Elephas maximus indicus: one gene and its partners. The protein of the gene in region 3 interacts with the protein of the main gene of each other region in a pairwise test. Links are inferred from orthologs where the notes say so. Each region holds a gene or a part of one and is shown on either strand. Other genes may lie near its edges.

What was found.
Region 1: the proteins of EXOC1 (region 3) and CEP295 interact in a two-hybrid assay, tested with the Homo sapiens proteins (2 studies listed by BioGRID and IntAct). The link is inferred for Elephas maximus indicus from reciprocal best matches to the Homo sapiens genes EXOC1 and CEP295.
Region 2: the proteins of EXOC1 (region 3) and CCSER2 interact in a two-hybrid assay, tested with the Homo sapiens proteins (2 studies listed by BioGRID and IntAct). The link is inferred for Elephas maximus indicus from reciprocal best matches to the Homo sapiens genes EXOC1 and CCSER2.
Region 4: the proteins of EXOC1 (region 3) and RESF1 interact in a two-hybrid assay, tested with the Homo sapiens proteins (2 studies listed by BioGRID and IntAct). The link is inferred for Elephas maximus indicus from reciprocal best matches to the Homo sapiens genes EXOC1 and RESF1.

What each region holds. Positions count from the first base shown.
Region 1 is NC_064825.1:27,305,278-27,312,749, forward strand, and holds the start of CEP295 (centrosomal protein of 295 kDa), read right to left. Parts: upstream 3,022-7,472; 5' UTR 2,928-3,021; coding exon 2,793-2,927; intron 1-2,792. UniProt on the Homo sapiens protein: Centriole-enriched microtubule-binding protein involved in centriole biogenesis.
Region 2 is NC_064826.1:125,879,966-125,887,234, forward strand, and holds the start of CCSER2 (serine-rich coiled-coil domain-containing protein 2), read right to left. Parts: upstream 3,023-7,269; 5' UTR 2,785-3,022; intron 1-2,784. UniProt on the Homo sapiens protein: Microtubule-binding protein which might play a role in microtubule bundling.
Region 3 is NC_064823.1:105,280,793-105,287,719, reverse strand, and holds the start of EXOC1 (exocyst complex component 1), read left to right. Parts: upstream 1-3,926; 5' UTR 3,927-4,016; intron 4,017-6,927.
Region 4 is NC_064822.1:90,450,763-90,457,723, reverse strand, and holds the start of RESF1 (retroelement silencing factor 1), read right to left. Parts: upstream 3,013-6,961; 5' UTR 2,919-3,012; intron 652-2,918; 5' UTR 566-651; intron 558-565; exon of another isoform or gene 1-557. UniProt on the Homo sapiens protein: Plays a role in the regulation of imprinted gene expression, regulates repressive epigenetic modifications associated with SETDB1.

The DNA of each region.
Region 1 (7,472 bases), on a different chromosome or scaffold from region 3:
ATACTCCCAAGACTTTGATAATGATAGCTGCCTACTGTTTTCTCCATTTTAGATGTGAACAAAGGCCTCCTGAATTAAAGGACTTGCCATAAGTGACAGTATCTAGCAGCAGAGCCAAGAAAAGAATTTGGTTTCATTATTCCAAATGGTTCCTAAATTTCTGACATCCTTTAGAGGGAGGAACATTTTATTTAAGCTAATATTTTTCATGAGTGGGGATACTGAAGAACAACGAAGAACTGAACAAAGAAGAAAAAATGAGCAAGACTGAATTTAGTCTTCACAGTGTGCCTTTTTTAATTTGTCTGAAGATCTTTGAAAATTCACTCATATTCAAACTATTAAAACGAATCCATGATGAAATATCAGAGAAAATATCACTGAAAGATATAAGCCAGGCACAAAAGAAAATATACTATAAACTTCCATTTACATGAAGTTCAAAAACAAGCAAGACTCATCCATGATGAAAGAGGTTAAAATAAGGGTCACCTTTATGAGGATTAATGACTGGGAGGGGGCACAAAGGCACCCTGGGGGGGGCTGGAAATGTGTATTTTGATCGGTGTGGTGGTTACACAGGTGTATACATATGTGAAAATTTATCAAATGGTATAGTTGGATTTGTAGATTTTATTCTACTTAAATTATACTTCCTAAAAAAGAAATAAGTTATAATTTTTCAGATTGTTTTGAGCACCAATCATTCTCATTTGCCAGAGGACTACAGGGAAACATCATATACACATCTGTTATTTTTAGCCCCTAAGATGTGACAGAATAACTTGTTTTCTTGTGTGTGTATGTAGATATCTATCTATATATGTGTGTGTGTATATATATATTTTTTAAACTTGACATTTGAAAATAATTTCAGATTTAACCAGAAAATTCACATTGGCACTATTAACTAATCCACAGACTCTATTCAAATTTTGTCCACTGCCCTACTAATGTCCATTTTCTGGACCAGGATCCAATTCAAGAACACACATTACTCAGGATCCTACAAGACGCAGATGCCAAGATGGGATTAAAACCCCACAGATTTTATGAGGGAAAATGGGGAGGTAGCTGGTAAAGAGTGGGAGAGCCTCAGACTTCAAGTCTGACACTGAGTGAAGAAGGGAGGGAAAGCTAGGTAGATGCCTCTTAGACTGCCATGTAGTCTGAGGAAGGCTCTGCAAGACCTCCAATGAGTTCTTGATCCAATTCCTTGTCTCCCAGGAACAGGTCTGCTTTAGTATCATGACAGAAGCCCGTGAAAAGTGTTGCCTCCACGCAGAAGGATTTCAGAGTGCAGCAGCTGGGGCACTTGACCAATTACAGTTCAAGTATATTTTCAGGTTGCCAAGGTTGTCATGTCTCCTTTGTCTCCTCTAATCTGGGACAGTTCCTCTGTTTGTCTTTGCCTTTCTTTTCAACACCTTGACATTTCTGTAAAAATACTCTTCAGTTATTTTGTTGAATATTCCCCAATTTGGATTTGTCTGATTAGACTGCCGTTATGTGTTTTGGGCAAGAATAACACAGAAGTGACGACGTGCCTTTCTCAGTGCATCAGATCAGGAGATAAACGACGTTGATGTTACGACCAGTGACGTATCACTAATTAAAATGGTGTCTTACCAGGTTCTCCACTGTAATGTTACTACTTCTCCTTGTAAACTGTAAGTATCTCGTGGACAGATACTTTGAGGTTATGTAAATACCCTGATTCTCATGGTACTTTTGCCCACTTAGTATCCATTGATGACTCTGGTCTAGAACAATTACTGTGTTCATCAAACAGAGATTGTCTATTTTCACTATTTATTCTACACTTATGAATTGGAATTCTACTTAAGGAAGTTTCCCTGTTCTCCCATTATTTATTTATTCAATTACTTATTCAAATCAATATGGATTTTTTAACTCTAAGTATTATTGCTATCCAATAACAGGGATGATTCTACTTACCTTGCAAGATTTTGTTCTGAGGATTAAATGGGACTGCAGCATAAAGCCCCTGGTTGATACATGGTAATCATTCAGTTAATAGCAGACTTAGATGTGGGTTCAAGACTAACAGTGCAACTTACTAGCAAGAAGACAATGACCAAGTCACTTAGTCACTTTGGGTCTGTTTCCTAATCCGTATTACGGGGATAATAATAGTTACCCCAGCAGGTTGTTATGATGATTGTGACTTAATGAATGTGAAAATGCCTACTACATTCTAAGCATTAAAGGCTCAGACGTTGGCCATTGTTTTAAAATCTCGGTTCGTGACAGGGCTGAATACATGGAAAATTTAAAGTGGCAGACACCAAAACAGAGCACACTCGCTGCATGAAACGATTCCAGGCAAGGCTCTTAAATGGCTACCGAGTTTCAGGCCATGCTCACAGCGATCTGGGGGAAGGGTAGGCAAGATGCACGGCCAAGTGTCTGCAGCAGCCGCGGAAGTCCTCCTGGCCATCAAGCGACCCGGGAGACTGCAGGGCAAACCCACGCGATCCCTCCCCGCACCCCGGGAGGGCGCACAAAGCCACAAGCGTGCAAGACTGACGACCAGCCTCTCGCACTAAGCTCGTGGACCTGAATCGGGACGTGCCTCCTGCCCCGGCGCTCTTTGCAGCCGCCAGCCCGACCCGGGCCAGGGCCCGCGACTTGCCGAGGCCACCGCGGGGCGCGCTGTTAGCTCCGCGGCCCTTTCATGGAATCCCCTCCTGCCTAAGCACACTCACAGCTCCTGGGCCTCTGGAAGTCGTGCACGCCCAGGACTGCGGGGAAGCCGAGGCGTCACTCACCTGAGAATGGGGAGCCGGAGTAAGAAACGGAAGCCCAGAAGCAGCAGGACCGAACAGCCACGGCCACTCAGCCTCCAAACAGCCGTTTGTGCGCCTGCGGGGCGGCCATCGCCGAGCCATCGTCACTTCCGTCATTCAAACCGCCCGCCAATGGCGGGACCACACCGCGGGAATCGGCCAGGTCCCGCCTCCCCCGGGGGCCGCCGGGAGGGCCGCGCCGAGTTAAAGCCTCTCGTCACGCGCACGCGCGCAGTACCACGTGCCTGTCGTCACTACCACGTGCCAGTCACTACCACGTGCCAGTCACTACGTAAAAAAAAAAAAAAGGGGGCCCATTATTTCTCATCGGTACGGCGGCTTTGAAGTTTTCTGCCTCAGGACGCTTATTTCATCAGGAGGTGGAGATTTAGAAAAGTGAAGTCATTCGTCCAGAGCCATGAAGTCATAAAGCCCCACCATGAAGATATCTTGGGATATATCTAACTTTACGTATTGAGTACACAATTCATTGGCACTGTAATACTGCAGGAAACCCTGGTGGTGTGGTGGTTAAGTGCTACACACTACAGCTGCTAACCAAAAGGTCGGCAACTTGAATCCACCAGGCGCTGCTTGGAAACTGTATGGGGCAGTTCTACTCTGTCCTGTAGGATCGATAAGAGTTGGAATCGACTCGACCTCAACAGGTTTGTTTTTTTGTTTTATTATACTGCAGTTTCTGATAACTTTCACTTCAGGCCTCCAACCTATATAACAGTGAACCGTATCATGTTGCTTTGCCTCCAGAAGTCCCAGACACCAAGAACATGCCAAGGATTTATCTGTAGTAAATAACCTATAACCCAGAGAGGAGGTGAGCACAGGTTCATATTTATTGAGCACCTACTTTTTTTTTTACTATGTGCCAGGAGCCCTGGTGGTCAAGGGGTTAAGCGCTCAGCTGCTAGTCAAAAGGTTGGCCAGCTGCTCCTTGGAAACCCTATGGGGGCGGTTCTACTCTCCTATGGTGCTGAAAGGAGTCTACTTGATGGCAACAGGATTAGATGGTATGGAGCCCTGGTGGTAAAGTGGTTAAGAGTTCGGCTGCTAACCAAAAATGTCAGCAGTTTGAATCCACCAGTTGCTCCTTGGAAGCCCTGTAGGGCAGTTCTACTCTGTCCTATAGGGTCATTATGAGTTGGAATTGATGGTCTGGCACTGGGTTTGGTGGTTGTGGATTATGTCCCAGGAGGCCCTGGGTGATGCAAACAGTTAAGGCGCTTGGCTGCTAACCCAAAGTTTGGAGGCTTGCATATACCAGGAGCCACCTGGGAAGAAAAGCCTGGCAATCCATATCTGAAATTAGCCACTGAAAACCCAGTGGAGCACAGTTCTACTTTGACATACATGGGGTTGCCATGAGATGGAGTCAGCTCAATGACATCTGGTTATTACGTGGCAGGTACATTGTGCTAGGTACAGGGAGACAAATGGAAAATGATGAAATGGAATGTAGCACCATTCTCCTAGCTCTTGCAGTATAGGAGTTTAAAAAAAATACCAGGAATCAGAGAATTAGAAAACAATGGCAGGGAGGGTGCTGACATGATCAGATTCTGGCTACATTGTGGAAAAGAGGTCAGAGGGTGAAGATTGAAGGCAGGGAAACCAGTTAGGGTACTACTGCAGGAAGTGAAAACTGATAGCATTGAGAATAAACAGAAGTGGGTAAGGATGGAGAGACATGGTAGATTTAAGAGGCAAATAGGCTAAGCCTCAGGATTTGGTAGTTTCCTGGTTATAAGAAGCAAAGAAAAGGGAGAAGTCTAGGATGATGCCTAATTTCCATAGTAGGCAATTGGGCAAATGGCTGTGACATCATAGAATATCTAGGAAGGGGAGCAAGTTTGAGAGAGGGGAGTAATGAGTTAAGCTTTGAATATTTTGAATATGAGCTGTTTATGGAATATCTAGACAAAGGATGAAGGATGTTTCTTATCTATTGCTGCTATAACAGAAATACCACAAGTAGATAGCTTTTACAAAGATAAATGTATTCTGTCACAGCCCAGGAAGCTAGGAGTCCGAATTTCGGGTTCTAGCTCCAGGGGAAGGCTTTCTCTCTCTGTTGGGTTTAGGGGGAAGTCCTTGTCATCAGTCTTCCCTGGTCAAGGAGCTTCTCAGAGCAGGGACCCCGAGTCCAAAGGACGTGCTATTCTTATGGCTCTTGTTTCTTGATGGTATGAGGACCCTATGTCTCTCTGCTCACTTCTGTCTTTTATATCTCCAAAGAGATTACTTAAGGTACAACCTGATCTTGTAGATTGAGCCCTACCTCATTAACATAACTGTTACTAATCCCACCTCATTAACATCATAGAGGTAAGATTTACAACACATAAGAAAATCACATCAGATGACAAGGGTGGACAATCACAGAATACTAGTCAAGTTGACACACATTCTTTGGGGGACATAATTTAACCCATAACACTCCACCTTTTGGCCCCCCCAAATTCATGTCTTTGCCACATATAAAACACATTCAGCCCATCATACAGCAAAAGTCTTAGATCAAGTCCAAAATCCAAAAATTCGCCTTCATTTCTTTCATCTGTGAAATGTGGAATAGAAGTTATCTGCTTCCAAAGTACAATGGTGCAACAGGCAGGCACAAGCTAGTCATTTCCATTACAAATGGGAGAAATTGGAGGGAAAGAAGGCATAATAGACACCAAGCAAGTCAGCAGAACATGTTACATCAGCTCTGAAGGCTTAAATATAATCCTCTGTTCTCTGAGATTATTTTCACAATGCCCCAGCCCTCCAGACTCTAGGTATTGGCCACACTCTCAGGATTCTGTGTGGAGGCCCCTCTGCCCTGGGCTTCAGCTCCACCTTCTGGCCCACTGGAAGGGCAACACTGTTCCCTTGTGTTTGGGTGACACCATTCTTCTAGTTCATCTGAGTGTCAACTCTACCCTTTGAGACCCCAGAGTTTGTAGCCCTACCTTGTGAGACTGAGCAAGCTTTGCTTCCTGTGTTCCTTGTCTCTTCAGCTTCTGCTTCCTGGTTCCTTGACCTCTTGGCCTCTCGGACCTTGCTGCCAGCCAGCGTCTGCCCAGCTCAGGAAAGTATTTCAAAGCTCTGTGGCTCCACTGATAAGTGCCTGGAGGCACTCCACTCTGCCAGTACACTTCAGCTGGAAGGCATTCAGCTCTCTTGCTCTGTGGGTCAGTGTCTTAGTCATCTAGTGCTGTCATAACAGAAATACCACAAGTGGATGGCTTTAACAAAGAGAAATTTATTTTCTCAGAGCCTAGTAGGTTACAAGTCCAAATTCAGGGCGTTGGCTCCAGGGGAGGGCTTTCTCTCTCTGTGGGCTCTGAACAAAGGTCCTTGTCCTCAATCTTCCCCGGTAGAGGAGCTTCTCAGGCACAGGGACCCCACGTCCAAAGGACATGCACTGCTCCTGGTGCTGCGTTCTTGGTGGTATGAGATCCCCAACTCTCTGCTTGCTTCCCTTTCCTTTTCTCTCTTGAGAGATAAAATGTGGTGCAGGCCACACCCCAGGGAAACTCCCTTTTCTTTGGATCAGGGGTGTGACCTGGGTAAGGGTGGTGTTACAATCCCACCCTAATCCTTTTTAACCTAAAATTACAATCACAAATTGAGAACAACCACAGAGTACTGGGAATCATGGCCTAACCAAGTTGACACATATTTTTGGGGGGACACAATTCAATTCATGTCAGTTGGCAAGCTTAGCTCCACCAATAAGTACTCAGAGACATCCCACTCTGCCAGGAAGCTTTCTGTGCAGAGGCACTCAACTCTCACGTTGTGTCATGGGTAAGCTCCAGCACCATCTCACACTAGTCTCTTCATTCTGCTGATGCTGTTTCTCTGCTACTGCTTCTTTCTGTCTGCACCGTCTCCAGTGTAACAGCTCTACTCACTTTCTTCTGAGTCCTCACCAGAATTGTCTTTGATGTCCATAATTCCACCAAGAGTCTCTTCAAGGCAGTCTAGGCTTTTACTATTAGGAGCTTTAAAACTCTATCCATTCACAGTTTCAAAACTACTTCCACATTTTAGGTATCTATTAGAGCAGCACCCTACTCCCAGTAAACAAATTCTCTCTTAGTTATCTAGAGCTGCTATAACAGAAATACCACAAGCGAATGGCTTTTACAAAGATAAATGTATTCTCTCACGGGCTAGGAGTCCAAATTTAGGGTGCTAGCTCCAGGGGAAGGCTTTCTTTCTTTGCTGGCTCCAGGGGAATGTCCTTGTCATCAACCTTCCCTAGTTGAGGAACCTCTTAGCACAGGGACCCCAGATCCAAAGGATACACTGTTCTCCTGGCTCTTGTTTTTTGGTGGTATGAGGTTCCCACGTGTCTCTGCTCACTTCTCTCTTTTATATCTCAAGTGATGGGCTTAATACACAACCTAATCTATTAGATTGAACCCTGCCTCGTTAACAAAACTCACTAATTCCACTGCATTAACATCATATAGGTAGGATTTACAACACATAAGAAATTCGCATCAGAAGACAAAATAGTGGACAGTCACACGATACTCGCCAAGTTGACACAGATTCTTTCGGGGACACAATTTGACCCATAACAGATGTATTCCAGAAACATTTAAAAAGGCGAAATTAACAGTACTTGAGAAACAATTGAGTGTGAGA
Region 2 (7,269 bases), on a different chromosome or scaffold from region 3:
ATCATTACTCGCCATTCCTTTTATTCTTGAGTCCTAAAACGGATGTTTTTTCCCCATCATAACTGGGGTTTCATTCCTAACCAGCAGTAACAATTTTGACTTTGTTCTGGAAAACTTACAAGTACCTTATGATTCATTCTAAGTTTTCTGATAATGAAAAGAGGCAGTCTGCAGCATTTTTGCTGACCTTAACACCATACTCAGGACTGAAGCCATTCTTACAGTTCACGAAGTTCATGTTCTGCATTCTAGGGAGGTGAGTAGCGAGCGTCTGGGGTCTTAAAAGCTTTCAAGTAGTAATCTAAGATACAACTACTGGTCTCTACTTGTCTGGAGCAAAAGATAAAGAAGGAAACCAAAGTCTCAGAGAAGAAACTAGTCTACAGGGCTAACAGCCTACAAGGGCCTCGGCAGTATCTACCCTGAGGCCAGAAGAACTAGATAGTGCCCTGCTACCGCTACTGATGGTTCTAGGGATGCACCCTGATAGAATGGGAAGAAAACATGGAACAGATTGCAAATTCTTAAAAACTCCAGACTAACCAGACCAGTTGAGACCAGAGGACTCCCTGAGACTATCGCCCTGAGATTCTCTTTAAACCTTGAACTGAAACTATCCCAAGGTCACCTTTTAGTGAAATTGGCACACGAAATAAAGGATATTACCAATGATTACTGTGCTCCATTAAAAAACCATCTATATGGGACCCAAAGGTCAATAACTACTTTAAAGCAAATATGAGAAGATAAGGGGGCAGGGAAACTAGAGCACTGAAAACGGAACAACCAGAACGCAATTAGAGAGAATGTGGGTACATAGTAAGAAATGTAGTTAATGTCACTGAATAACCTGTACTGAAATTGTCAAATGGGAACCTAATTTGCTTTGTAAACTTTCACTGAAAACACAGTAAAATATAATTTTTTTAAAAGAGCTATTACAAAAAAAAAAGATTGAAACCATTCTCATTCTTCAAAAAGTAATTCATTTAATACTTTTTGAGCACCTGTGCCTCGCAATAGCGTGTGCTAGAGTTGCAAAGGTCCCTTCTTTCCCCAAAATCTGGTGGCGGAAATGCATACATAAATAACTACCAATGGACAAACGCTAACTGTGGAATGTACACTGTACTACTGGATGCAGTACAGAAGGACAAGTCTCTATCAGTCAAGACAAGCAGGTCGAAATGTCTGGACAGATCAGAGGAGGTATTTCAGTTAGGTCTTATAGGGCAAGTTGTTAACCAGGTAGAGGAGAAAAAGAGAATTCTCAACAGAGGGAACAGGGTAAGTTAAATACAAAAGAAAAGGTCTTCTGAGAACTGCGAGTAGTCTCGCATACAGAGGGCAGAAGTAATGGTAGAAGATAAAACTGGAATGGAGTGCAGGCATGTACCAGAAAAGGTGAAGGACTTTGAGTCTTACCAATACAGGCTATAGAGAGTCACTGAAGGACTTTTAAACAGGTAATCAAAGTCTCCCTCTTCCACCATACAAGGAAGTTGAGTAAAGGTAACAAGCAAAATGCAGGTCTGGATTTCAAAAGGTAACCCAGTGCTGTAGAAGAGTGATTTAAAAAGCGGGTGGGGCGGGGGGGGGGTGACACTTCCTACTCCCAGGATGACTTCTAGCAGCTTCTGACTATGGCATATTAATACAACATTGAACTAAGACAATACACACAGCTAAACGGTTCAAGAAAGTGTATGTTTTTATTCAAAGATTATTTAAAACATTAAAGAAAACAACCAAATAAGAAACAGTAAGTAGAGGCAAACAGTAATGAAGAAGGTGGACTTCAGGCCAAACATTCAAGAACGTTTGCATCCTTATCATATATTGATTACAAATAACAAGACATATTTTGTAAAGATCTTTTGCAAAGGAGAGTATCTTAAGGTTGAAGAAGAGCTGCCACCACTTTTTTTTTTAAAAAATGATGCTTCCAAAAAAGAAGGGGGGGGGCAAAATTAATAGGTTCCATTAATATTTCAACGCTCAGGGAAAAAAAAGAAAGGGAATGCCTTTTAAAATAGCTGTTTTCAAAAGGTTAACAACCCAATTATCTCACCCATAGGAATGAAACACTGAGATTCCAATCGGGGACCACGACGAGTCCAGCTATCAGTCGTTTCCAGACGGTTCAGGCCTAACCTGGGAACAGCAAGCTGAATTGGCTGGGTAGTCTACAAAGATGAATTTGCAATTATTGAAATTCAAACTCAAGCTCAGCCACCGAGGGACAGCTTTTCCAAGGAGTCATCCTTCCTTTCCTAATGACAAGAAAGTAGGTGCATAAAAACGTCCGTACAAAAACCGCAGGTGTCTACCAAGGAGCGAGAAAAGCATCCGTCCCTACGGCAGCACCGTGGTCCGCCAAAGTTTTACCTCGGGGTGTGTTCAGGGTGTGTCTTTGTTCGGGCCTAGTAATGAACAACGACGAGAGCCCCTGTTCGGGGCACCCCGGGACTCTCCTCCAGCAAGCCTCACAAGCATCCTGGCTCCGAAACCCCTGGGCACCGCAGCCGCGCCCCGTCTTCTCCTCAGAGAAAGGCGCTGCCCCGCGGCCCTGGCGCGCCTGTCACGGCCCGGGGGCGGGGGGCGTCCAGCCGGTGCCGCCGACCCCGCCCCGGCAGCTCGCGGGGCGCGAGGGGTAGCCCCCGAGGCGCAGGACGCCGCGCCGCCTCGCCCGGGGAACCGGCCTCCGCGCGCCCGGCCGCGCCCCCGGCCCCTACAGTCGCAGGCGCCCGCCCGACTCCGCCCCGACCCCGGCCCGCCTCTCACCGCGCAGAGGTCGCGCTGCCTCCTCCGCCGTGGCCGGCCTACGGGCCCCGGCGGCCCTCGGGCCCAAGGACGGAAGGAGGAAAGGTGCGGCGAGAGGCCGCCTGTCACATCCCGGCCGCCCGACCCGCAGCTGCCAGCAGCGCACCCGCGGCCTGAGGGAGCGCCAGACCGTGCCGCCGCGCACCCCTCACCGGCGCCCGCCCGGGCTCCGCCCTCGGGCCGCGCACCACGCGCGCACGCAGCCCTGCCCCTCCAAGCGCGCGCAGGCGCAGACCCCGCAGGCCGGGCCCCGCCCAGCCGCCCGCGCCGGCCTCAGCCCACCGCCGGCCTGGCCACGGGCCTGTCGCCTGCCTCCCCAGGCTCCGCCTCCTCCTCGGGCCCGCCCCTCCACTGACCTTGCCTCCCTGCCCGCTGACTCAGGTCTGCTGGTGGCCTGGGACTCCAGCCCGCGTCTGGCCCCACCCCCAGCCGGCCTCCCGGGCTGACGTTTGCTACTTGACGATGGTGAAACCTGTCAGTTCCACCTGCAGACCCGAAAAGTCGGGGGGGCGGGGTCTGAGCATCGGGATGAGATGAGCGCTCCCCAACCTTTGGTGAACTAAACATCCCCAACATTTTGTGCTTCAAGTCCATCCCTGTTCCCTGCCTCCCCGTGCTCCAGAGCATGTCTGAGCCCCAAACCCGGCCTGTCACGCCCACAAGCAGGACCTTGCTGAAATCCAGGAGAAGGGGCCCCGAAATGCTGAGATTTGGAACGACTCGCTCCAAATCAACCTGGGGACCAAGAACCAGGCCCTCCTTCTCTTCGGCACTTCCATCCCCCACTGGCTTGCTCCGAGGCTCCTTTCCTCCCCGATTGCCAGGCCTGCCCTTGAGTGCCCTCACCGGTCCAGCCGGCTGGAAGCCCTGGAGCTGTTCTGATCTGTGGTAGACTAGCTGCTCTCTGAAACCCTCACCGGCCACTTTAATCAACACTTTTGTCTCCACGATGAAGGGATGGAGGGCTATAGGACTGGGGTAAGGGGGCAGGTGTAATTTGTAAAGCTACATTTCATTTAGTAACATACTTTTTTTTTTTAATTGTGCTTTAGATGAAGGTTTACAGAGCAAATTAGTTTCTCATTAATCAATACACATACTGTTTTGTGACGTTGGTTGCCAACCCCACGACATGTCAACACTTTCCCCTTCTCGACCTCGGGTTCCTCATTTCCATTTCTCCAGCATTCCTGTCCCCTCCTGCCTTCTCGTCCTTTCCCCTGGGCTGCTGTGCCCATTTGTGCTACCAGGTCTGCACTGGATGTAATTACTTACCAGTGAGTGCAATTGAGAGAAGAGATCAGGTTACTCCATTATAAAGAGGTAGGAACAAGTAAAGTAGATTGAAAAGTAGGGGTGGGGGTGGGGGACAAGAGATTGTGGGGTTCTTGAGCCAAGGAAGAAAGTGTATCAAAGAGAAGAATGATCAATTGTGTAAAATGCTGCTGAGAGGTCAAGTAAGATGAGGGTTGCAAAAAGATGAGGGTTGATTTATTGGTATGAAGGTCACACAAGGGTAGTTTAGGTGTAGTGGTGGTGATAGGATACTTTGAGAATGAAAGAAGAGGGATTAGTGACAGCAAGCATGGTCAACTCATTTGAGGAGTTTTGCTGCAGAGAGCAAAAAAATGGTGCTGTGGCTGAGGGTGAAGAGTAGAATAAAAAAAAAATTGTTGATTTTTAAGGTGGAAGAAATAACAGCAGGTTTTATCCCTTGTATACTATTTCCTTTTTGAGGTGGTTTTTACCTTTCTCTCTTTCACTATTTTGTTTGGGCTGCTTTTTATGACAGTTGTGTGTGTGTGTGTGTGTGCTTTAAGTGAAAGTTTATAAATCAAGTCAGTCTCTCATACAAAAATTTATATACACCTTGCTTTATACTCCTAGTTGCTCCCTAATGAGTCAGTGCACTCCTTCCCTCCACTCTCTATTTTCATGTCCAATCGGCCAGCTTCTGACCCCCTCTGCCCTCTAATCTCCTCTCCAGACAGGAGCTGCCAGCACACTCTCACGTGTCTACTTGATCCAAGAAGCTCACTCCTCACTGGTATCATTTTCTATCCCATAGCACAGTCCAATCCCTGTCTGAAGAGTTGGCTTTGGGAAAGGTTCCTGTCTTGGGCTAACAGAAGGTCTGGGGACGATGACCTCCGGGGTCCTTCCAGTCTCAGTCAGACCATTAAGTCTGGTCTTTTTACAAGAATTTGAGGTCTGCATCCCACTGCTCTCCTGCTCCCTCAGGGATTCTCTGTTGTGTTCCCTGTTAGGGCAGTTACGAGTTATAGCTGGACACCATCTAGTTCTTCTGGTCTCAGGCTGATGTAGTCTCTGGTTTACACGGCTCTTTCTGTTTCTTCAGCTCATAATTACCTTGTGTCTTTGGTGTTATTCATTCTCCTTTGCTCCAGGTAGGTTGAGACCAATTGATGCACCTTAGATGTCCGCTTGCTAGCGTTTAAGACCCCAGACACCACTCCCCAAAGTGGGATGCAGAGTGTTTTCTTAATAGATTTTATTATACCAATTGACTTAGATGTCACCTGAAACCATGGTCCCCAGACCCCCGCCCCTGCTACGCTGGCCTTCGAAGCATTCAGTTTATTCAGGAAACTGCTTTTGGTTTAGTCCAGTTGTGCTGACTTCTATTATTGTGTTGTCTGTCCCTTCATCTAAAATAATTCTTATCTACTATCTAGTGAATACCCCTCTCCCTCCCTCCCTCCCCACTCTTGTAACTGTCAAAGAATATTTTCCTCTTTGTTTAAACTATTTTTCGAGTTCTTATAAGTGGTCTCATACAATATTTGTCCTTTCGCAACTAATTTCACTCAGCATAGTACCTTCCAGATTCCTCCACGTTATGAAATGTTTCACAGACTAATCATTGTTCTTTATCGATGCGTAGTATTCCATTGTGTGAATATACCATAATTTATTTATCCATTCATCCATTGATGGGCACCTTGGTTGCTTCCATCATTTTACTATTGTAAACAGTGCTGCGGTGAACATGGGAGTGCATATATCTGTTTGTGTAAAGGGTCTTATTTCTCTAGGATATATCCCAAGGAGTGGGATTGCTGGAACCTATGGTAGCTCTATTTCTAGTTTTTTAAGGAAGCACCAAATTGATTTCCAAAGTGGTTGTACCATTTTACATTCCCACCAGCAGTATATTAGTGTTCCGGTCTCTCCACGACCTCTTCAACAATTATTGTTATGTGTTTTTGGATTAATGCCAGCCTTGTTGGAGTGAGATGGAATCTCATTGTAGTTTTGATCTGCATTTCTCCAATGGCTAATGATCCTGAGCATTTCCTCATGTATGGGTTAGCTACCTGAATGTCTTCTTTAGTGAAGTGCCTGTTCATATACCTTGCCCATTTTTAATTTGGTTATTTGTCTGTTTGTAGTTGAGTTCTTGCAATATCATGTAGAATTTAGAGATCAGAACCTGATCAGAAATGTCATAGCTAAAAACTTTTTCCCAGTCTGTAGGTAATCTTTTTTTACTCCTTTGGTGAAGTCATTGCATGAGCATAGGTGTTCGATTTTCAGGAGCTCCCAGTTATCTAGTTTCTCTTCTGCATTTTAAGTAATGTTCTGTATACCTTTTATGCCATGTATTAGGGCTCCTGGCATTGTCCCTATTTTTTCTTCCATGATTTTTATCATTTTAGGTTTTATGTTTAGGCCTTTGATCCATTTTGAGTTAGTTTTCGTGCACAGTGTGAGGTATGGATCTTGTTTCTTTTTTTTTTTTTTTTTTTTGCAGATGGGTATCCAGATATGCCAGCACCATTTGTTAAAAAGACTGTTTTTTCCCCATTCAACAGACTTTGGGCCTTTGTCAGATATCACCTGCACATATGTGGATGGATTTATGTCTGGATTCTCAATTCTGTCCCACTGGTCTGTGTATCTGTTGTTGTACCAGTACCAGGCTGTTTTGACTACTGTGGTGGTATAATAGGTTCTAAAATCAGGTAGAGTGAGGCCTCCCACTTTGTTCTTCTTTTTCAGTAATTTTTTACTTATTTGGGGCCTCTAATTCCATATGGAGTTGTTGATTTGTTTCTCCATCTCACTAAAAAATGTTGTTGGAATTTGGATTGGAATTGCATTGTATCTATAGATTGCTTTCAGTAGAATAAACATTTTTACGATGTTCAGTCTTCCTATCCATGAGCAAGGTGTGTTTTCTCACTTAGATAGGTCTCTTTTCGTTTCTTGCAGTAGTGTCTTACAATTTTCTTTGTATAGGTCTTTTACATCTCTGGTAACGTTTATTCCTAAGTATTTTATCTTCTTGGGGACTACTGTAAACAGTATTGATTTGGTGAGTTCCTCTTTGATGTTCTTTTTGTTGGTGTAGAGGAATCCAACTGATTTTTGTATGTTTATCTTGTATCCCGATACTCTGCTGAACTCTTCTATTAGTTTCAG
Region 3 (6,927 bases):
TAGGATTTTTGCTACACAGTAACAGTAGACAGTACCGTATCTGGTATCCAAGAAATTCACTGGGGCTTATCTTGGTGTTTTGTACTCAAGGATAAGTTGAAGGCAACTGCAGCAACCATGGCCCAACCAGAGTAAGGAAAATAAAGATAAAGGTCTGGATTACCTCACCAGGGAAGCAACCTAGATTAGTTGATATGCTGGCCAAGGGTGAGGGGAAGTTAGGATGGATAGAGGAGGAGAGAGTTAAAAAATGTACATCTGCCCTTGGCATCAGCATAGCAGCAGGGACTGAAGCCTGTATTAACTCTCTTGTATTAAGTCCTTGCAGGAATCGTGGCTGGCCACCACTCTGAAGTAGCCTCTGTGAGAGAATAGACTTAATGGAGGGCACAAGCAGATCTGAATGGTGTAAGAAATGGCCTGAAATGGACACCCTCTGTGCACTACTTCAAATCTCTTCAGTCTCTTATTTCAACCACTGCTCCAGCTACCTGTTCTGAGCAAGGTTTGATGAGCTTTCAGCAAGTGTAACGTGACAGCACCTCTCCTCTCGCTTCCTGCCCTAGGACTTCTCTGATGTGGAAGCCAGTGTGACATTCACAATTGTGCATTTTGGAAGTGTGGTGTAGTTGATGACCAGGAGCATTATCCTTTGATAAAGGAGTACCAGAGCCAACAGGTAAAACCTTCTTCTATTTTTTCCCCCATTTGGACAGTTCAGAGACTCATTTCACAAGACTTCATAGAAGGTCATACAGGATCAAGAAAACATTCCAACATGCTGTTAGCCAACTCAATAACACATCCTTATGTTGACTTTACTCATTCTTGTTTCACGTACCCTCCTCCTTCCCTCATTCGTGCTCTCTGGGTTCATACCCCCAAATAAACTACTAACACATAAGTTCTTGTTTTGGCCTCTACTTTTGGAGGAAGAGGAGATACAAGGCTTTCATTTTTGTACACATTAAGTGTCAGATTTTATTAGTCCAAAAAAACAAACTCATTGCTGTCAAGTCAATTCCAACTCATGGTGACCCCATGTGTTACACAAGAGAACTGTTCCACAGGGTCTTCTTGGCTGTAATCTTTACAGAAGCAGATCACCAGGCCTTTCTTCTCAGGTGCAACCCTTAGGTTAGCAGCTGATTGCAAGCCACTTGTACCACCCAGGTATGCAGTGAGCCTGAGGCACTTACTGGATATCTAAATGGAAATGTCAGGGGGGCAGTTGGATATACAAATCCGGAATTCAGGAAAGAAGTTCAGACTACATAAATAAATGTGAAATACAATTCATTTCCCTGCTTTGAGAGGGCTGTAACCATACAGGTAAACAAAAGATAGAAAATAGAACGAAGTAACACATGCAATTGTCACATAAAGAGTGTCCACAGTAAGTGTTTGGAGATTGACTAAGCAGGGACAGAGGCGTTTTTATACAGAAAGGACTCGATAGAGATCACACTCTTGAAACGGAAGTCATTCCATGAAAGTGAAAAGATTCCAAGCAGCATTGATTAGACCATATTATTTTCAATAACAAACGGATCTCTACAATTTCTGTGGTTTTTCCCACCAAATAGTATCTTCGGATAAATAATGAAAGACATTTTGCACAGCTGATTTGTCACTTTCTCAGTGAATCCGTCCCTGGCAGAATGAATTACTACCTCTTTTGCATATCTACAATGTTATGAATTGAATCGTGTCCCCCAAAATTGTGTTATAAACCCTAATTCCAGAACACTTAATTGTGCTCATGAGCAACCTGTACATAGACCAAGAGGCAGTCATTCCAACAGAACAAGGGGATAGAGTGTGGTTTAAAGCCAGGAAAACTGTGTATCAGGGTTGTATCCTTTCACCATACTATTTAATCTGTATGCTGGGCAAATAATCTGAGAAACTGGACTATATGAAGAACTTGGCATCAGGATTGGAGGAAGACTCATTAACAACCTGCAATATGCAGATGACACAACCTTGTTTGCTGAAAGTGAGGAAAACTGAAGCACTTACTGGTGAAGATCAAAGACCACAGCCTTCAGCATGGATTACACCTCAACATAAAACAAAAATTTTCACAACTGAACCAATAAGCAACATCAAGATAAATGCAGAAAAGATTGAAGCTGGCAAGGATTTCATTTTACTTGGATCCACAATCAATGCCCATGGAAGCAGCAGTCAAGAAATCAAACAATGCATTGCATTGGGCAAATCTGCTGTAAAAGATTTCTTTAAAGTGCTATAAAGCAAAGATGTCACTTTGAGGACTAAGGTGCACCTGACCCAAGCCATGGTATTTTCAATTGCCTCATGTGGAAGACGGGAGAAAAATTGATGCCTTTGAATTATGGCATTAGTGAAGAATACTGAATATACCATGAACTGCCAGAAGAATGAACAAAATCTGTCTTAGAAGTACAGCCAGAATGCTCCTTAGAAAGGAGGATGGCAAGCCTTCTTCTCGTGTACTTTGGACATGTTATCAGGAGGGTCTAGTCCCTTGAGAAAGACATCATATTTGGTAAAGCAGAAGGTCTGCAAAAAAACAGGAAGACCTTCAATGAGATGGATTGACACAGTGGCTGCAACAATGGTCTCAAACATAGCAAAGATTGGAGGGTGTCACAGAACTGGGCACTGTTTCCTCCTGTTGTGCATGGGGTCGCTAGGCATTGGAACCAGCTCAAAATCACCTAACAGCAAGAAACTAAGACACACGGTATTTCATCTCTTTTTTCTTCCTTTGTTGTTGGGTTTATCTCACTAGGGTACAATTTATGCATCTATTTGATAGGGTCACTATAAGTCAGAATCGAATCAACGGCAACGGGTTTTTAAGGGTTTTTCTCCAATGATAGTATGACCCCCTTGTGGGTGGGATCCCTATCTTTGTGTCTCTAGCACCTAACACAGTGCCGAAGATTGATTATTAAATAAACGAACACATGCATGAATGGATTTCTACAGCAACTTGCAACGACATGCTCCTTTGAACTTCCAGCACACTTATCTGACCTGTACCTCTCTTCAGTCACTTATTTTGTATCCTCTTTTTTATATTTATTTATATCTACATCTTGTCTGTCCTACCATACTCTGAACTCCTTCAGGGCAGGATTCATGTCCGAATCACCTCTGTACCTGGTATCAACCTGTCTGGTTTAAAACAGGTGCCAGGGATATGGAATCAATGAATCATTTGCCTTCCCACCAGCAACACTGGCAACACCCGTGCTTCTCAAATGTAAATGTGCGTAGGAGTCATCCCCTTAAGATGAAGATTCCGATTCAGTACATTTGAAGTGGGCCAAAGAGGCTGCTTTTTCTAAAAAGTTCCCAAATGGTACCCATGCAGCAGGTCCGCGGACCGTACTTTGAGTAGCAAAGTCATCGAAGCAATGATTCTCGCCCTTAAAGGTGTATTTAGAATAATCTGGGAGCTATCGAAAGTGCTAGTATCTGGGTCGCATCTCCAGAGTTTTAACTCATTTAAACTCTCCACGCTTTTAAGTAGCCAGGAACAAGACTTAAGCATCACAAACGCAAAAAATAAAACACTTCAGCTGATACCCTCTTAAACGAATTGCTGAAACATCTGAGTAAATAATTCTTCTCAAAAGTAATACATCGGGCGGCACCAAAGCCTGCCGTTTCAAGTCAGCGCGCGGTAGCGGCCGGGTCCCTGACCCTCCTTGGCGCAACTCCTCCGGCGAAGCCCCGCCCCGCCGCGCCCTGCCCCGCCGCGCCCCACCCCACCGGTGGCGCCACGCCCCTGCGTCTATTGGCCACTCCCTTTTTCCCTCCGTTTTTTCCTCCTCTACAGGGTTGACTTCCGGCTCGGAGCTTTGTCACGTGCCCGGATATGGGAAGTGGTAGGGAAACGGCTGCTTCCCGTTCACCGCTTAATTGAGGGGAGCTTTCCAGTACTGGTCGCCGCCTTGCCGCGTGCTGTCTCGGTCTTGGAGGGCCCGCCTCGGCGCAGCCGGGCTCGGTACTGTCCTGCGGTAAGCCTTCGGTCGCGGCTGCCCCGTAGTCCCGGCGGCAGGCAGACGATCGGGCGGGCGCCAGGGCCTGAGGCGGCACCTCTTTCCCACTGCTGGTTCGGCGACCGGGGTCAGGGCACAGCTCCCTCCGACGACAGTCCCTCCTTCTTTTCCCGGCGTCGCTGTGTAGGGCGCAAAGTCTGGGCCGAGCTTCCCCCACTTGGCCTGGGGTCTGGGAGAAAGTGGAGCAGAGAAGGCAATCTTCACACATCCGTTTCCGGCTCCGCCTTTGGGGACCAGATTTCATTTTTATCCTTGATTGTTCGAGCTTTGGAGTGGACGGGAAAGGAGGGTGTGGCAGTGTCTCCCCGCTCTCTCTTTTTTTTTTTCTCCCTAAGTCTATATTTTCTTCTAAGTTTCTTAAGTACATTCCTGTCTTGGTATGCCGTTCTCTTCACTGCATGACGGCACTCCACGCGCTAAAGTGTGTCGACAGCATGCGGGGCTCCACCCACATGGACGCTCACTGACAAGCTGTCACCACAAGCCCACCACAGAGTGGAATGGTCCAACTGAATTTAAGGAAACAAGAACGAAAACACAGAGTATGCAGTGGCTGGCTGCCTCTGGAACATAGTCAGACACAGGTTCTTAGAGCTGGAAAATAATTTTAGAGAACCTGTAATGATTTATTTACTGCCTTCCAGAAAGTATTGTAAAGTGGAGAGTAGGTTACTTAGCTCTTAGAATGTAAATGCCACGAAGACAGGGGCGTCTTCGTGTCTTCATGAACGTGTTTATCACGTTCAATAGAGAGATACCTGGCCCTTCATAGGCATCAGTATTTGCTGACCGAATGAGGGGCCCCACAGTGCTTTTCATTTATGTCTAACATCTTTATGAGGTATACCCAATCCTCTCTTGTTTTACCATTTACCATGCATTGAGTCCTTGCTTTTGGCCAAAGAGGGATCATGTGGTAAATGTTGGCCACTATTAGTCATTCATTTGACCAGTTTTTACTAATCAATTTAGATGGCTCAAGAGGTGTTTGTCGAGTACCTACTATGAATTCAAAACACTTTGATAGAGTGTGTGTTTGTCTCCCTCTCTCTCCCCCTCCTTTTTTTTATTTTTTCTTTAAAAGAGTTCTCCAGATCCAGGAGCGTATGATGTCATGAACCAATTAGACAGCCAGTGCTTGGTTGTTTATTAAGTGCAACTGAAATTGAGAGTAGAGATCAATTTGTACTTAAGATCCTTACTGAGTCAACATCATAAAAACCCTGAAGTGTAATTACATTCCCTGTATGGAAAAGCACCTAAGTGAAGATTTAAAGCCTGAAACTTGGAGTAGGAGGTTCGGATATAGAAGCATTAGGAAAATCTTGAATGAGGGCATGGTGTGATGAAGCTGTGTTTTAACATTATCTGCTTATTGGAGTTTTGGGGGGTTATGGAAGTTTGCAAAGAGATGGCCTGATGCTATAGTATTTAAATATCATGGATGATGTGAGTCTGGTTTAGTGTGGTGAGAATGGGAACAGAAAGGAAGGCATGAATTATGTGTGTCGGGGGGGGGAGGTAACAAAATGTGGTGACAGATGTTGAGAGTGGAGGAGAGGAATCAAATAGGGCAGATTTTAAACCTGGGCATTTGCGTACAGGTGTGAGAGTTGGAAAGAGGGAACTTTTTGGAAGCCGTAGTTGTTAAATTATTTAGTGCTATCATTTTAGTTGATTTAAGTATTTCTTAAATGCTTACTAAGTGCCCTTTGCCAAGTTCTAGGAATACAGAGACGAATATGACATGATCCTTACCTATAAAGAGCTACTTTTAATGGAGAAGAGAAGAGAATGTAGCTAGCTGGAAAATACAGTTGGTAAGTGCTGTGCTAGTGTAGTAGAGAGTTAGGGAAGTAGAAGAGGAATTTTTTTGGGGTGGTGGTGGTGGTAATAGTCTAGCATGATCTTAAGAGGGGAGTTAGAATTTCCTAAGGAGAAAAGAAAAAGATATTGCATGAGCATAAGCCCAGATATAGAAAAGTAAACTGGCCAGTGTTCGACGTGGTGTAGGGTGGAGTAGAGCTTGTGAGCAAGTGTTTAGGCCCTGGAACATATTAAGGGATTAGTAATGGGCATTTTGTAATAGGCGAAAAAGAGGTTAGGATGGGTGAAGATGTAGAAAGATGGAGACAAAAGCAATTGGGGAGAATTATACTTCATGGCCTCTATATTATCTGCAAGTCAGTGATACAGTCATCTGTGGAGAGTGAGGGGGCCCACACCATTTGGGGTCTAAATCAGAAATAGTAAAGATTTGTGACAACAGTGATGGCAGATGGGAAAAGGAAGCATTAAAGGAAGTGTAAGTGTTAAAGAATTGCCGAGCAGCATTGAAAGTCCAGGTTTGGATGAATTTCGATATTTAAAATGCAGTCAGTGAGCACAGATATGTGGCTTTCTTAAGTGGCCTATATTGTTGTTGTTAGGTGCCATTGAGTCGATTCCAACTCACGGCAACCCTGTGTACAACAGAATGAAACCCTGCCAGGTCCTGTGCTATCCTGACTGTTGTTGCTATGCTTGTGCCCATTGTTGCAACCACTGTGTCAGTCCATCTTGTTGAGGGTCTTCCTCTTTTTCACTGACCCCCTACTTTACCAAGCATGATGCCCTTCTCCAGTGACTGATCTGTCCTGATAACATGTCTGAAGTATGTGAGATGTGGTCTCGCCATCCTTACTTCTAAGGAGCATTCTGGTTGTACTTCTTCCAAGACAGATTTGTTTGTTCTTTTGGCAGCCCATGGTGTATTCAGTATTCTTCGCCAACAGCACAATTCAAAGGTGCCAGTTTTTCTTCGGTCTTCCTTATTCATTGTCCAGCATTATGCGTATGAAGCAATTGAAAACACCATGGCTTGGGTCAG
Region 4 (6,961 bases), on a different chromosome or scaffold from region 3:
AATATAAAACTATGTTCTCTAAGAGGTCACAGGCATCTAGGCAATGTTTACATTATTAAACCAGGAACTAACAATACAATATTCTGATTGGCTTACTAGTGATTTGTAAAAGTCAAAGGTGGATCAAGGAAAGCAGGGTGGGGAGGTGGTTTACAGTAATTGATGAACACAACATATGTGGGTTTACATGATTGACTTAAAAAGTCTTTGTTCATTAGTTACCACTAGGTGACTATAGGGGGTTTACAGAGTAGTTACAACACAATCACAGGACATTCTTTTCTGCTAACATAGCTTTCTCATACAATGTGGTTCCTGGGAGTGGCCTGCATGGCTTGATTACAAAAGAAAACATTTCCTTAGATACCAGATTAATTCTGTTTAAAGGTTAACTTCTTAGAGTAGAGCAGGCTTTTTCAAAATGAAGTTTGAGTTCAGGCCCAGAGGCAGCCATCCTTTAGTCAAGTGCCCCAAAGATTTAAATTTTAGGGGGCTGTTACCTAAGTAGAGTGTGAATAATCACTTGGTTAAATCACTGTAGACTTCTCAGAGGTAACATGCTTACCTTTAAAAACAATTTTATCATTCAATTATTGTCTATTCCTGTTTCCCTCCAGACAAGTCAATCCCCCTCCAAGCATATACTTGGTCCTAAGAATAAACAACAGACATTTTATAATTAATAAGAGCCACACGATAATGTTACATGACTTGACATTGCAATTTGATAACTGGGTTACCTAAGTTTGCACCTGTTCAAAAATTTGGTTAACAAGTCAATTAGAGTTAGCAGGGTTTACCGAGTGGGGGGAGCCCAGGTGGTGTAGTGCTTAAGAGCTTGCCTGGTAACCAAAGACTGACAGTTCAAATCCACCAGCCACTCCTTGGAAACCCCATGAGATGGTCCTACTGTTCTTTAAGGTCACTTTGAGTCGGAATCAACTCTGTGGCCATGGGTTTGGTTTTATTGACTGAGAAACTGTACAAGAGCAGCCCAAACTGAAAATGGCGAGGGGGGTGAGTTACAAAGCCCTTTTAAAGCTTGGGTATCTTACCGTTTAATTGGTTAGTCACATTTAATTTTCCTTTTGTTTTGAGAAAGTTGGTCACTGAATGTGAAACTGGCTTATCTTGATTGGATAAATGTTGCTAACTCACACTGTTAAGGATTGTTAACTCATGTTGATAATAAGGAAAACTTGCCTATGTTTCAGATTCTGTGTGAAATTGTTTCTTATAAGTGACCTTATGACTAATTTGTTTGGCTGTTGACCCAGGGAAGCCACTTTAACTCTTGCCCCTATAAAAATGTTTAACACCATCTAGCAAGTTTATTGAAATTCTTATTACGTGTGCTAAGTATCAAGAGTAGAAATTAGGTCTGACCTCAAAATACCACTCACTTTTTAGGTTGTAATTCTTGGGTGTTCCTCCAGGTCCACCATTGTCCTATCTTTCCAAAATAAACACACTTACACTAGCAATTTTATTTATCTTTGAACAAGGTTTATTGAGTGATTAATTTAACTCAGTGCCTAACACACGTGAAGCTCATTTTTTGGAAATCAAGGAAAGGTTTTAAAGACAGTGAGGAAACTAAGTTCTAAGTAATTGGTTAAGGAAAAGGTCTTTAATTTGGGGGGAGGGATTACAATAGTTTGGAAAGATAAGTCATTGATTACTGTCCGGTTTGGGTTGTTTAATGATTGGTTGGCTTGCTTCACCGGATCAGAAGGACAGTCAAACTGATATAAACCAGGCTAGGCTCTCAGGTCCCAATTAGTGCATTCCAGAGTCTGCGTCTGAGAGTAGGTTGTCTCTAGAGACAACCTGACCTTACCCAGGACACCTGGTACAAATTTTGCGCAGCTCTGAAAAACAGCCCTGGAAGAATGTCCGGGGTTACTGTGCGATTAGCCAAAATTTATGGCTTGAATTTGAACATTTAACAGGTTTACTAAGAGAGCCAGATTGTACAGGAAACAAATCAGTAAGTAAAACCTTAACATAGTGCGTGTTAACATTTACTGGGTAAAACTTACACATGATTTACGGCTAACACATTTAGCAGAAACTTAAAAAGCCCCAAACAAGCGGCGCGATCCGCCTACTAAAATTCGCCCCCAAGCTCAAAGACATCACCTGCTTATCTCTTTATTTTGAAGGCAGGCACTGAAAGCATACAATTACACCAACACAATTCCCAGAAAGCGTGATGCTGAACTCAGGACCCTAAGGACATTTTCGCGTCCCTGAAGAACACCTAAAAAGGGTATGCATTTACGCATTTAAAAATGCCTCGCGGAACTACTGCAGAGGGACAGAAAGCATCTCTAACACCGAAGCGTTCGCGGGCCGCTCGGAGATGCAAGCGGAGCAATTCTGTTTAGGGAGGTTTCAGCATAAAGGGCGCGGGGGAAGAGGAAAGATCTCGAGGATTACTACACGCAAAACAAAGGTTTTTTTTTTTTTTTTTTCCTTTTCGCTAAAAACATACGCAACTTCAAAAACACGCAGCCACCTAACCAACCGCCTATAGTTGAACAAAATGAGTACCCGCTCTCGCCACCCGCGACCTCGACCGTAAAAAGGCGGACAGTTCAAGGAAAACAGGCAGCAAGGCACCGCCCTTCGGGTCGAGGGCTCCGGCGTCGGCAGCGGGCCAGGATCCGCCCAGGCGACGGCAGGCGGCGAGCGCTGCGGGCAGGCGGGCAGGGTTCGGGGCGGCGGCCCGGGTCGGACGCGCGTGGGAGACCGAGGCCCGCGGCCTGGGGCTCCGTCCTCCCCGCAGAACAAAAGCGCTCGGTCGCCACACCCCTAGACCCGCCTCGCGGGCACCTCGGGATCCCCGCGCCCACAGCGCTGCTGGCGACTCCAGATGGCGAGTGAGGGGCCGCGGGATACCCGTCCCCACTTACCGACGAGCCCGGAGTCCGAGTGACATTAGCTAGGAAAACGCCGTACCTAGGAGGACGCCGCCGGGCTGCCTAGACCCAGAGTTAGTCAATTTGGACCCGCCTCCAGGGGCGGGCCGAGGAATGAAGCTCCTGCTCCCGCACAGCGGAGCCCCGCCCCGGGCGATGACGGCGGCTGCGAGGCTGACGCCGCCGCGGTCCTAGTGCGCTCAGAGTAGGCTGCGGCGGCGGCCCGCCGGGTCTTCCAGCGCGTCTGCCGAGGTTAGCAATGCACCTTCACCGGTCTGATAAAGTACAGCGCCGCGAACTGTGGTTCTCGACTTATAACGTGAACATAATTGCCTAGAGGGCATGTTGAAGAGACGGACCAGCCCCACGGCAAAGCGGTAGTCCTGGGTGGGGCTGAAGACTTGCATTTCTAAGTTTTTTCTAAGCAATACTGAAAATTCTGGTTTCAGAACTAGGGCTGAGCATCTAGAGCTGGGGTCGGCAAATGTTTTCTACCAAGGTACTGTATTAGTTTCCTGATGTGGTCGTTGTTGGTAGCTTCCTAAGGCTGCCTTAAAAGTGCCACAAAGTGGGTGGCTCGTGAGAAGGGAAACTTAACTGTCGCACAATTCTAGAGGGTAGGAATCCGAGTTTAGGATGTCTGCAGGGCTTTATGCAGAGCAACCTTTTCAAAGAAAAGGATATCAACCTAGGGTAAAAAGTAAACAAAAGAATCTTCTCTGAATCATTAGGAATGAAGAAGGACCAGAGGGACGGATTACCCAATAAGGAAGGTAAACACGTGTTTACTTGTGTTTACTTACTCATCTGTAGTGCACGATTTCACTGTTTTCCACCACATGGCGTTGTGAAACCCACGTGAAAATGTGCACTACAGATGAGTAAGTAAACACAGTTAAACCCGTGGATACCTTGCTTACTGGTTGATCCGGCCTTTAATTGATGCGCTGGGCTGCTAAACAAAAGGTTGGGGATTGGAACCCACCAGCAGCTCCTGGGGAGAAAGGTGTGGCAGTCGGTTTCCTTAAAGATTTACAGCCCTGGAAACCCTATGGGGCAATTCTGTCCTAGAGGGTCACTATGACTCCCAACCCACTAGATGGCAATGAGTTTGGTAATTTTTTTTTTTTTTTAATTGCGTGGCTCTGAAGGCTTTAGGGATAATTCCTTCTTGTCTCTCTTTCAGCTTCTGGTAGACCCAGGCGTTCCTGGCTTGCAGTTGCAACATTAACTCCACTCTGCCTGTCATCACATGGCCGCCTTCCCTTTGTGTGTGTCTTTCCCTTTTATTTACAAAGACACCAGTCATATTGGATTAGGACCCACCCTACTCCAGTAGGAGCTCCCGTTAACTGATAACATCTCCAAAGACCCTATTTCCCAACAAGATCACATTCACAGAACTTCAACACATCTGTCTTTATGGGAAACACAGTTCAATACAAAACTGGTGTAGAAAGACAACATGCACCTGAACAATTAAGGAAATGGTTTTATTCAGGCTATGGCATTCATTAATGCAATAAATAAGAGGATATTACCTAGGGTTTTTATCGGGACAAGTAAACAAAGTAATCTTCTCTTAATCATTATAGGAATGAGGAAGGACCAGAGGTGGTTCTTCAGGTATGGGAGGAGCCAGGGTATTCCTTTGTCCTTGAGGTTCAGATATTGGCTCTATCACTCACTAGCTATACAACTTTGGGAAAATCATTTAGCCTCTCTCTGCCTCAGTTTTCTAATCTGTAAAACTGGGGTGTCCTGGAGGATTTTTAATTTAAGAATAAATAAATGCTCCGGTTTGTCATGCATAAACTCGTTTAGTTTATTGCAAGGTAGTCATAACAAGGCACACACCTAAGACCCCAAGACATTCATTTAGCACTGGAGAATCAGAATTAACGATTAGTGTTAGAGTCTAAATCTTTAGACTTCAGGCCTTTCATGAGTAGTCTCAGGAAGAAAGACTTGACCACTCCTCAAACTCAGAGAAGGTCCCCAATAGCCAGGGTCCAAGGTTGGTTGTGATGGGTATGATCTCAGCAGGCTCTTGGTCTTCAGAGAGAACCAGAGTCAGAGAGACCTTTTGTCCATGCTTTCTTCTCCAGGAGGTGAGCAGAAATCAAAGGGTTTATCCACAGTATTTTTTATCTTGATTTCATAAGAAGGGTTAGGTGCTGTTATGTTTAACCATACTTGGTATGTTTTATTGCCAATTAAAGGAATTGTGACATATTTGTTTCAAGGCCATACAGAGATTTGAATCGTTAATATATTTTATTGTCAGTTAAGGAAATAGTTGTATGACATGAGGAGCCCTAGTGGCACAGTGGTTAAGCACTCCACTGATAACCCGAAGATCGGCAGTTTGAACCCACCAGCCTCTCTGTGGGAGAAAGATGTGGCAGTAAGCTTCCATAAAGATCACAGCTTTGGAAACCCTGTGGAGCAATTCTACTCTGTCCTATAGGACAGTGTCATGGATTGAATTATGTCACCCAAAAGTATGTGTCAAGTTGGTTAGGCCATGATTCCCAGTATTGCCTAGTTGCCCTCCATTTTGTGATTGTAATTTTCCTGTGTGTTGTAAATCCTAATCTCTGCCTGTGGTTAATGAGGCAAGATTAGATTACGTTAATGAGGATTAGGGTGGGATTGTGGCACCCTTACTAAGGTCACAGGTCTGATCCAATGTGAAGGGAGTTTCCCTTGGGTGTGGCCTGCACCACCTTTTACTAGATAAAAGGAAAGAGAAGCAAGCAGAGACGGGGGATCTCATACTACGAAGAAAGCACGGGGAGCAAAGTGCATCATCCATTAGACCCATGATCCCTGTGCCTCAGAAGCTCCTTGACCAGTGGGACTTTGATGACGAGGACCTTCCTCCAGAGCCAACAGAGAAAGAAAGCTTTCCCCAGGAACTGACATTCTGATTTTGGACTTCCAGTCTACTAAACTGTGAGAGAATAAATTTCTGTTAAAGCTATTCACTCGTGGTATTTTTGTTACAGCAGCATTAGATGACTAAGGTAGTGACTGTGAGTTGGAATTGACTCAACAGCAAGGGGTTTGGTGTTTTTGGTTTGTGTATAACATATGTATAGCAGTCCATGGTGTATTGACACAAAGGTTGCAACAATGGGCTTAAACATAACAGCAATTGTAAGGATGGCTCAGGACTGGGCAGTGGTTCGTTCTGTTGTACGTAGGGTCACTATGAGTTGGAACCAACTTGATGACACCTAACAACAACATGATATATGTATGTCCCAAAGCCAATTTACAGAGATTTGATTTATTAGAAATGATGGAGTTTGCTATATGACATATTTATGTCCTTGTTTACTACATACTTCACAAACTTCTGTTTTCTATTTCTAAGGTTAGAACGACTTTCTAATGACATATGTTTCTAATGACTTACAGGTAATGTTAGAGACCATCATAGATACAGTGTATACATGTTTCCATTTCTAAGTTCAGAAATTCTATTTCTAATTTTATATTATAAATGACATATATAGGTATTTAAGGAGCATCATAACTGTGTACAAAGCATTACAGAAGTACAAATAATAGTGACTTACACATAGGTGACTTATATGTTATAAAAGCATACATAATAGGGGGTAACAGTAGTTCCTACCTATAGGATTGTTGTGATACTTTCATGAGTTAATACATGTAATGCACTTATAACAGCTCCTGGCACATGGTGAATTCTCAGTAAATTTTAGCCAATACCATGTTTGTTAGAGGAAATATATTTTATACCTGTCTTTGTCATCTAGTGCTGCTATAACAGAAATACCACAAGCGGATGGTTTTAGCAAAGAGAAATTTATTTTATCACAGTCTAGTGAGCTTGAAGTCCAAATTCAGGGCATCAGCTCTGGGGAAGGCTTTCTCTCTCTCTTGGCTCTGGAGGAAGATCCTTCTCATCAATCTTCCCCTGGACTAGGAGTTTCTCCACACAGGGACCCATGGTCCAAAGGATGCACTCTGCTCCCAGCACTGCTTTCTTGGTAGTATGAGGT